Linked DNA regions of Oryctolagus cuniculus. The protein of the gene in region 1 interacts with the protein of each later gene in a biochemical or structural test. Links are inferred from orthologs where the notes say so. Each region holds a gene or a part of one and is shown on either strand. Other genes may lie near its edges.

What was found.
Region 2: the proteins of MAFG (region 1) and NFE2L1 form a complex in vitro, tested with the Homo sapiens proteins (2 studies listed by BioGRID and IntAct, with this or other methods). The link is inferred for Oryctolagus cuniculus from reciprocal best matches to the Homo sapiens genes MAFG and NFE2L1.

The regions. Positions count from the first base shown.
Region 1 is NC_091448.1:998,579-1,002,964, reverse strand, and holds the start of MAFG (transcription factor MafG), read right to left. Parts: upstream 3,089-4,386; 5' UTR 2,891-3,088; intron 2,814-2,890; exon of another isoform or gene 2,569-2,813; intron 2,439-2,568; exon of another isoform or gene 1,974-2,438; intron 50-1,973; exon of another isoform or gene 1-49. UniProt on the Homo sapiens protein: Since they lack a putative transactivation domain, the small Mafs behave as transcriptional repressors when they dimerize among themselves.
Region 2 is NC_091448.1:24,339,533-24,343,788, forward strand, and holds the start of NFE2L1 (endoplasmic reticulum membrane sensor NFE2L1), read left to right. Parts: upstream 1-1,275; 5' UTR 1,276-1,449; exon of another isoform or gene 1,450-1,512; intron 1,513-1,742; exon of another isoform or gene 1,743-2,002; intron 2,003-2,902; 5' UTR 2,903-3,383; coding exon 3,384-3,893; intron 3,894-4,256.

The DNA.
Region 1 (4,386 bases):
AGTCCAGGAGGAAGCCGGGAGCTTTAAAAATAACCCCAGCGCTGCCCCGGAGCACGGCTGTTCCTGGCCAGTCACGCTGACTCAGCACATCGCGGCCGCCCGCCCTCGCCGCCGGCACTCCCGAGGCCGCCAGCCAACAGCCGCCCAGGAGCCCCGCTGCTGGGGCCAGGGGGGCTGGGGGGCCATAGCAGGTGGGGGCGCCTGCCTGTGCATCCTAAGGTCCTACCTCCCACAGCGGCCTCCCCTGCGCCAGCCCGGGACAAAGCCCCTGCTGTCCCCACCGGGAACTGGGGCAGACAGCAGGGTGAGGGGTCTCCCAGTTTCCCGGGGCCCTCCAGCTGGGAGCGAGTCATCTAGCTGGCCCCGGCTCCCATGGCGGGAAGAGCTGGGGAGCCCCACACCTTGGAAGCAGCAGGCAACCCGACTGAGAGCCTGGCCCGAGGGCCCCTCCAGCCCGCTCTGGCCGCCTCCCGGCCCGTGGAGTAACCACCGTGTGGCTTTGGGTTGCAGCTTCCTGCGCCCCTGCCCCACCCTGGCCAGGGTGTTTCACAAGGGCCCCGGGGCCTGCTCACTGACAGGCAGGTGGCAGTCACTGACTGCTCTGTGGTCCCCTGCCTGGGCCTGCACCCACAGCCCAGTGCCCAGACCGCTCCCCCGCCAGCTGCCCCTCGAGCACCACCCTGCACTGTCCGCTCTCTGAACCCCTGCCAGGAACCTGAAGCTCCCACCCCAGGAACCCCTCCCGGAGCCCGCCCCTCCCACTGCTCTGCAGGTTAGATGCAGGCAGGTAAACAGGTGGACGGGGAGAAAGGCCACAGTCTCCTGGCCGGCTCACCCACCCGGGGAACCACAGTGTGGCTGGCCAGGCGGCCCATGTTCCCAGGGTGGAGACCCCACAGGAGCCAGGCCTGGCCAGGAGGCAGGCTGCAGCCAGGAGGCAGGGTGGGGCCGAGCCAGGAGGCGGGACCCCAAGAAGGATGGGGATGGGGTGCCCACAGCTGGAGGTCAGGAGGCCCGCAAGCCGGCCCCGGCCCACCAGGAGACGGGCCCTCACTGCTGCCTGGGCACGGGGGTGTCCCTCCCCCCACGACCGCACAATGACAGCGGTGGCTTCCTGAGGGGACCACACAGAAAAGTGCCGAGCGCGGCGCTGGGCTGGGAAAAGTGCCTCCTCAACAGATTCCGCCCTCTGCAGAAGGCCTGAGCTCAGCACAGTGCAGCCAGGCGCCTTCCGATCAAAGGTGTGCACGCGTGTGCGTGTGCGTGTGCGTGTGCGTGTGCAGGCACCCACGCCGTGGGGGAGGGCCTCGGCAAAGCCGGCGCTTCCAGCCTTCCGGGCAGAGGCGGCCCCTGGGGATGGCGGAGAAGGCTGGCTCGGGGCACCTGTCCCAGCCAGAGGGGGGGTCCCGGAGGCTGCACTGAGTGGAAGCCCCCCCAGCCCATCCTCTCCGTCCTGAGGGCTGCTCAGAGCTAGAGCCGCTGTCCCCTGCTGCCTGACCCACGGGGGACCCTGGGCCACCCACTCAGCTGAGAGCTAGGAGAGGAAAGGGCAGCTCCGGCCCTTCCTCCAGGACCAGCTCCCCTGGGCACCCTTGCCCGGCACACCCCAGCGGCCACAAGTCCCAGGCAGGCCGCCCGACGCTCTGCGACCCCGACCCGAGTCCTGCGGCTCCATTCACGCCAGAGCACCCGTGCCGGAGAAGCCCCGAGGAAGCTGCGCGGTGTCTGGGTGCGACCACGCGACGGCCACGAACCCAGGGCAAGGGAAGCAGTGGGAAGGTGAGCTCTGTCCACCTCCCTGGCCCCCAGCCCCCACCGCGGCCACACCACCCTTTGGCCTCTTAGCCGCCGGTCCAGACAGCGGAGACACCACACTGGCTCAGCACACTCCATGCTGGGACCCCTCCTCGCCGGGGACAACCCCTGGGTGTCTGGGACCCGATTCTCCCGCCTGTGCGTCCACACTAACCCACCTGCTGCACCCCAAAGGACGCATCCTGAGCTCCTGTCGCGTGCAGCCTCGCCCCAGCCCAGGGCCAGCGGACCCGGCCGCGACAGCGCGCTGGCTGCCCTGCGAAGTCCTGCTGCCTGCTCCCTGCCCGCCGCCGCCCCTGCGGCCCCACGCTCACTCCTCTTTCTTCTGACGCCAGGGGCTGCCCATCCAGGGGCTTCCAGCCGCCAGCTCGGCCCACCAGACCCCTCCCCTCCCGTCACCCCCAGCTGTTTATCAGTTTGGGGGACTGCCCCGAACGTGGGCCCAGGGCCGATCTCGCCAGGGGCTCGACTTCTGCCCCGCAGGAAGCCCGCAACGCGGCCTCGGCCTCCGCCTGGCCACGCCGGCCTCGCGCTCATCCTCACGTGTGCCTCCCCCGCCACGGGCCGGCCCCTCCAGTCCCGAGGCCCCGCGCCCAGTCCCCGCGCCAGCAGCAGCTCCGAGTGACCTCATGCTGATGACTCAGCAGGTCGCGGCGCTGGCACGCGAGCCGAGCCCGGGCCCGCGGGCAGGGTCTTCCCGCCGCCCCCGCCCGGCCGCCGGGGCCCCGCGCGCCGCCAGCGGCCGCCACACACCTGAGGAGCCGGCGGCCGCGCCCCCGCGCCCCCGCGCCCCCGGCCGCGCCCGGCCCCGCCCTCCCCCCGGCCGCCGCCGCGCCTCGCCCCGGGACGTCCCGGCCTCCGCCGAGCGGGCTCCGCGCACGCCCCGCCCGCGCCGCCGCGCCGCCGCGCCGCCGGCGGTGCGCCCGGGCACCCGCGGCCGGGGCCGCAGCCCGGCTCCCGACGGCAGGGGAAGGCGAGGCCCGGCCCGCCGGAGGGCGCGCGGCGCGCCCAGGCCACGGCCCCGCCCCGGCGCGGGCCCCGCCGCCGCCCCCGCCGCCCGGCCCGCCACACTCACCACACTGCGGGCCCGGCGGGCCGAGGCCGGGGCCGGGGCGGAGCCGCGCGCGCTCCGAGGCCGCGCGGAGCTGGGGCGGGCGCCGGGGGTCCGGGCCCGTGGCTCGGGGGGGGTCTCGCCGCCTCGCGCGCCGGGCCGAGCGCTCTGCGAAGGCCGGGCCGGACCAGGCTCGGGATCCGCCGCCGCCGCCGCCGCCGCCGCTCCACAGACGTCACATGATGTTTGGTCACGTGGGCTCCATTCATGAAGCGGCGACGCGGCCGGCCGGAGCTTAAAGGGGAAGGCGCGGCGGCGGCGGCGGCGGCGGCGGGGCGCGTCGCCCTGCGCCTGCGCAGCCCGGGCGCCGTCGCCCCTGGCAACGCGCGCCGCGCCCGGGCCGCGTCGGGGGCTCGCGGGACTGTCCGGGCGCGCGCCCTGGCCGGACCACGCCCCCGCCGCGGCGCGGTGCGAGCGCGCGGGAGGCCCTAGTCCGAGGTCCGGGTGCAGACCGACCCCGGGGGTGCAGGGCCCAGGTCCCGGCCCCGCGGTGCGCCCGCCAGGAGTGGACGGCGCGGGCCGTCCCCCGGGCCGCCGGCACCTGTCTGAAGCCGGCCCCCGGGTCCGCGTCCGCCCCCGCCGCCGATCGTTCCCCCAGGAAGTCGCCGCGCGGCGGGGTGGGGGCGCGCTCTCGGCCCTGTTCCCTGCTCAGGTGCACAGCCAGGCAGGTGAGGAGGTGAGGGCGCCGCGGAGGGGCCCACAGGAGGACCTGGAGCTGCTGTGCGGGGCTGCGCGGGGTTCCTGGCGGGGTGGGGTGTCCACGCGGGACGGCGCGACTTGTAAAGCCTCGGGTTTTTCCGTAGAAAACGCAGCGACTCACCCCACGAGTGCGTCCCTGGTCTCAGAGCTTGCTCCTCACCCCTCCTGGACGCTGGGTCCAGGCTCCGGGGGGCGGGGCAGCCCTGAGCCGGGTTCGCGGTGGGAATCGGAGCTCCGTGGCCGCTGGTCTGAGGCCCGAGGTCGAGGGCAGGGGGCTAGTCGTGACGGAGAGCCGGGTGTGCCCTCGCTCCTCTGTGCTGGGAGACGCTGGACCAGGACGCCTGGTCCTGGGGCCGGGGGCCATCACTGCTGACCACCCAGGCAGCTCGCCCTCCCCTGCCGCCGTCCAGTGCGTGGGAGATGCCTGGGAAACTCATCTCATCTCCCACTCAGTTTTGCTGATGGACGTCCGTCCACTCCCCACCCCCACACACCCACCCCCACTCAGCAGCCGCAACAGGCAGGCATGGGTGTGGCCACCCGGGGCCACGGGCGAGGCCAGTGGGGGCCGTAGGTACTGGGACTGCTTCCTATAGAGAGAGAAGCCCTGGGCCCTGGGGTCAGTTCTGAGAGCAGACAAGAGAGGGGCAGGTGCCCACGCTCTGTCCTGTGAGGGGGCAGCTCTTCGGGTGCAGGGGTCCAGCTGTCCTGTGCGGTGCTGGGTGGGGGGCTCGTGTCCTGTCACTGGAATGGCCCAGGCA
Region 2 (4,256 bases), about 23 Mb from region 1:
GGACTAGAACCCGGTGTGCCGGCGCCGCTAGGCGGAGGATTAGCCTAGTGAGCCGCGGCGCCGGCCAACATGGCAGTTCTTTCTCTTGCTCCCTCTGCCTTTCAAATACACAGAAAGGTCCTTTCATAATACCCACTATCCATGAGCTTCGGAAGCGAACAGTAAAAACCGCCACTCAGTGACTCCCTAAACCGGGTGTCAGGACCCAGGCAGCCACCGCAGTTAAATCAGAATCTCTCCAGAAAGGCCTTGGGACTTGCAAGCTGATGTGGGGGGTTGTAAATTAACGGGGCCAGCGCTGTGGCACAGTAGGCTAAGCCTCCGCCTGTGGCTCTGGCATCCCACAGCAGAAGATGGCCCAAGTCCTGGGGCTCCTACACCTGCGTGGGACACCTGGCGGAAGCTCCAGGCTTCTGGCTTCGGATCAGCTCAGCTCCAGGCATTGTGGTCAGTTGGGGAGTAAACCAGCACATGAAAGACCTCTCTCCCTCTCTTTCTCTGTGTACCTCTTTCAAATAAATAAATAAATATTAAACAACAACAACAACGTTGAGGAGTCACAAACATGTTTTTGAAATGTGGCTAGACTTCACTGGAGAACTCTGGAAATTGGACAAAGTTCTTGAGCAGCAAAACTAAGTTCTGAGATGTTTCTATCATGACAAAAATCGCTATTACACCACCGCTTCTTTCCACCAAGGTGGAGACCACCGGTCTCCCCGGCAGTCCCCACAGCACCCTTGCCTGGGCGGTACAACGCACCATCCCGCCTGCCCAGGTGGCTGAGCCCAGGCCTACACGGAAGGGGAGCCGGACGACCTGGTTCCGCTGCCAGCACTCAAGATGGCGGCAAGAGCGTCGCCGCCATATGAACCACATGCTCCGTGCCCCGTCTCGACCACCCTCGGGTCTCACTGGACTTTTGCAAGTCACCGTGGGCACCCTCGCGGGGAAAAATTCCGCGCCTGGGTGGCGATACTTCCTCCCGACCCCTGTCTCAGGCTCTCAGTTCCTCAACGCAGAATGCCCTAGAAGCGCACAGTTTGCAACACCACCCGCCGAGCAAACGCCGCGGGGTAGTCCAGAACGCCGGACCCTACGGCCTTTGCTCCACTCATTGGTGGGCCCAGGACGCGGGGCGGGCCTAGATATCCATTGGGCCGTGGGTCATGTCAGTCTTAGGAAAATGGGCCCAGAGAGGAGGAGACCCATTCAACTATTGGGTCCTCTCTGCTGTCAGTCAGAGCAACATCCGGCGGCGGCCGCGGTCTCTGCTAGTTGATTGGAGAAACTGTTTCTGATGGCCGTGGCGGGCGGGCTTCCGAGTGAGGTGGAAGGAGGGGGCGGGGAGGGAAGCGGAGGCTGGGGAGCTGTAGGCCGGCCGGCGGTGGCGGCGGCCTCGGACTCAGGCTGAGGGCCTGCTGTGGCGGACGCTGAACTCAGCAGCGGGTATCGGGCACATTCCTTTCCCTGAAGGGAGGGGCACAGCGCCCCGGGGCCGAGGCTTATGGGGTGAGGGGCGGCGGGATGTGGCTGAGGGGCAGGAGGCGGGAGCTGGGCGGCCGAGCCAGGTGTCTGGCGGGACTGGGGTCCTAGGCCTGTCGTGGACGGGCCGCGGCGCCCAGGAGAAAGCCGGCTCTGGGGTGGGATGGACTAGGGAGGGTCGAGGGCCCGAGAAGGCGTGGTGTGAGGCCCGGGTAGGGAGCGGGGTGGGGCCACAGGGCCGGAGGGCGGGGAGAGGTTTTCCTTTAAGGGTGGGTCAAGGCCAGCAAAGTAGCACTTGTTCGCTCGCCGCCCCAGAAGGCTCGAAGCCGAGGCGCCGAGAGTGGGCATGGCGACTTGGTCCCCGCCGGACTCGGGTACCCGGGACAGGGTGGGACCGGACTCTCGCCAGGGCCTCTGGCCCTCCCTCGAGATCTTTAAGGGACTTTGCCCGCTTTCTGGAACTTAATCGGCCCCTTGGAGAGTTCAGTGATAAATGGCGTGCGAATGGGAGAGTAGCGTAAGCAGGGATTCTGGGTCGCAGTTGTGTTTACTCTGAGCGGAGAGGGGCGTGTGTTGTGTGTGTGTCTGTAGCTCTCGCCTCCCCTTCAGCGTGAAGCGGGTGGATGGGGTAGAGGAGAGGGGGATGTCTTGGTTTATGAGATTAATGGAGACCAGAAACCGAAAGGCAGATTTAACCTTCTCCCCACTTGGCAGTCTGGGGTGAGGACTTGGCCATATCCTCAGCTTGGCTCAGAAGGTCATAGGAATAAAGATAAAACCTGCCTGTGCAGCCTCGGGATACCAAATTCTGGTGCCCCCCCCCCCCCTTATAATTGGAGGCTGATAGAAAAAAAATAGGATTTCTAAGTTGGGAAATGAAAGACGTTCTTTGGTGTGAAGGGGTGGCCCAAGTGTGGTCCGGTGTCTCACACTCTCACTTGTTAATAACCTCCCTCCCCTTTAGAACTGGAAGGGCAGAGGTTGTAGGTTGTAGGCAGTTTTCTCTCCGGGAGGAGAACTTTCCTTTAAGATAGGAAATGGTCTTCTCGTGCTGAAAATAGAAGCTGTAATGTGCCGGGGTGGGGGTGGGGGGAGTTGGTATATTAGACAAAGAATGATATTTGAGATATTTGGGTGCCACAGGCATCGCCTGCTTTTCCAAAGCAAGCCGCTTTTTAGGATATTTCAAATTTAATATCTTAGAACAGATCCTTTTGGGTCGGTACCCTCCTTTTTGGTGGCCGTTCTAACAGGTGGCTTTATTCTTTCTTTATTTTGCGAGAACACAAGTGATAAGTTTTCCTGTGGAAGTTCTTTTTCTTAATGTGTTGCCCGCCTTTCCCGTGAGCAGTCTCTTACCCTGCGATGGTGTGAAAAGTTCGGAGCCTCATCCTGTTGCTCTTGATTCCCATTTCAGGTTTCTCTGGAAACCCCCCTGGTAAGTGTGGCGGAGGCGGGACACTCTGACCCAAGACAAAAGGCCTGTAGCTCCAGCCAAAGAAAATAAACCTTAGGAGGCAGAAGGAAAAAAAAAAAAAAAAAGGCCATCAGCTGTTGCTGAGAACAGCGTGCAGTGGAGTCTACAGAGAGGCCGGCTGATGTGAGTGAGGAAGTCGCGTGGGCCCCGAGGCCTGGACTGGGTTAGGAGCCGTTTGCTCTCAGAGGTGAGGTGGCACGAAGGGAAAAGTGAATGTGGTCTGGAGTGTGGCCTTGGCTCCACGGGCTGTGCTGTCCTCTGCGGCCGTCGGGGAGCTCAGCCCCGGTGACCTGCCAGGGTGGGGTGCAGTGTTTGGCCCTGAGGAGGGAGACCTGCTGGCTGGAGCGCCAGAGCAGTGGCCTTGATTTGTCTTTTGGAAGATTTAAAAACCAAAAAGCATAAACATTCTGGTCCTTCAGCAATGCTTTCTCTGAAGAAATACTTAACGGAAGGACTTCTCCAGTTCACCATTCTGCTGAGTCTGATTGGGGTGCGGGTGGACGTGGATACTTACCTGACCTCGCAGCTTCCCCCGCTCCGGGAGATCATCCTGGGGCCCAGTTCTGCCTATACTCAGACCCAGTTCCACAACCTGAGGAATACCTTGGATGGCTATGGTATCCACCCCAAGAGCATAGACCTGGACAATTACTTCACTGCCCGGCGGCTCCTCAGTCAGGTGAGGGCCCTGGACAGGTTCCAGGTGCCAACCACTGAGGTAAACGCCTGGCTGGTTCACCGGGACCCAGAGGGGTCTGTCTCTGGCAGCCAGCCCAGCGCAGGCCTCGCCCTCGAGAGTTCCAGTGGCCTCCAGGATGTGACAGGCCCAGACAACGGGGTGCGAGAGAGCGAAACGGAGCAGGGATTCAGTGAAGATTTGGAGGATTTGGGGGCCGTGGCCCCTCCAGTCAGTGGAGACTTAACCAAAGAGGTTAGTGGCCCTGTGGTGAGTGGGTGGGGCCTGGGGCTGGGGGGTGGGCTGTTCCTGAAGGACTCTGGTCCTGGCATGGAGCTCTGTAAAGAACCAGACAGACTGGGGTGGGGGAAAAGTGGGGGTGGGGCAGGGAAGTCTTAGGGCATTGTTCATGGATGGGAATGGGCCGGATTGTCCAGCCTTAGGATTGGGGGCTGGGAGCATTTCCCTGTTTTGAACCATGGACCCACCTCTAAATGTACTGTCAGGGCAGTGGGAGGTTCCTAGGACATGCCAGGGTGTTTACTGCTTGGATTTCAACATGACTGCTGGAGGCCTGGGGTGGGGGAGGGAGTCATGTTGTGATGGGCTTTGATGCCG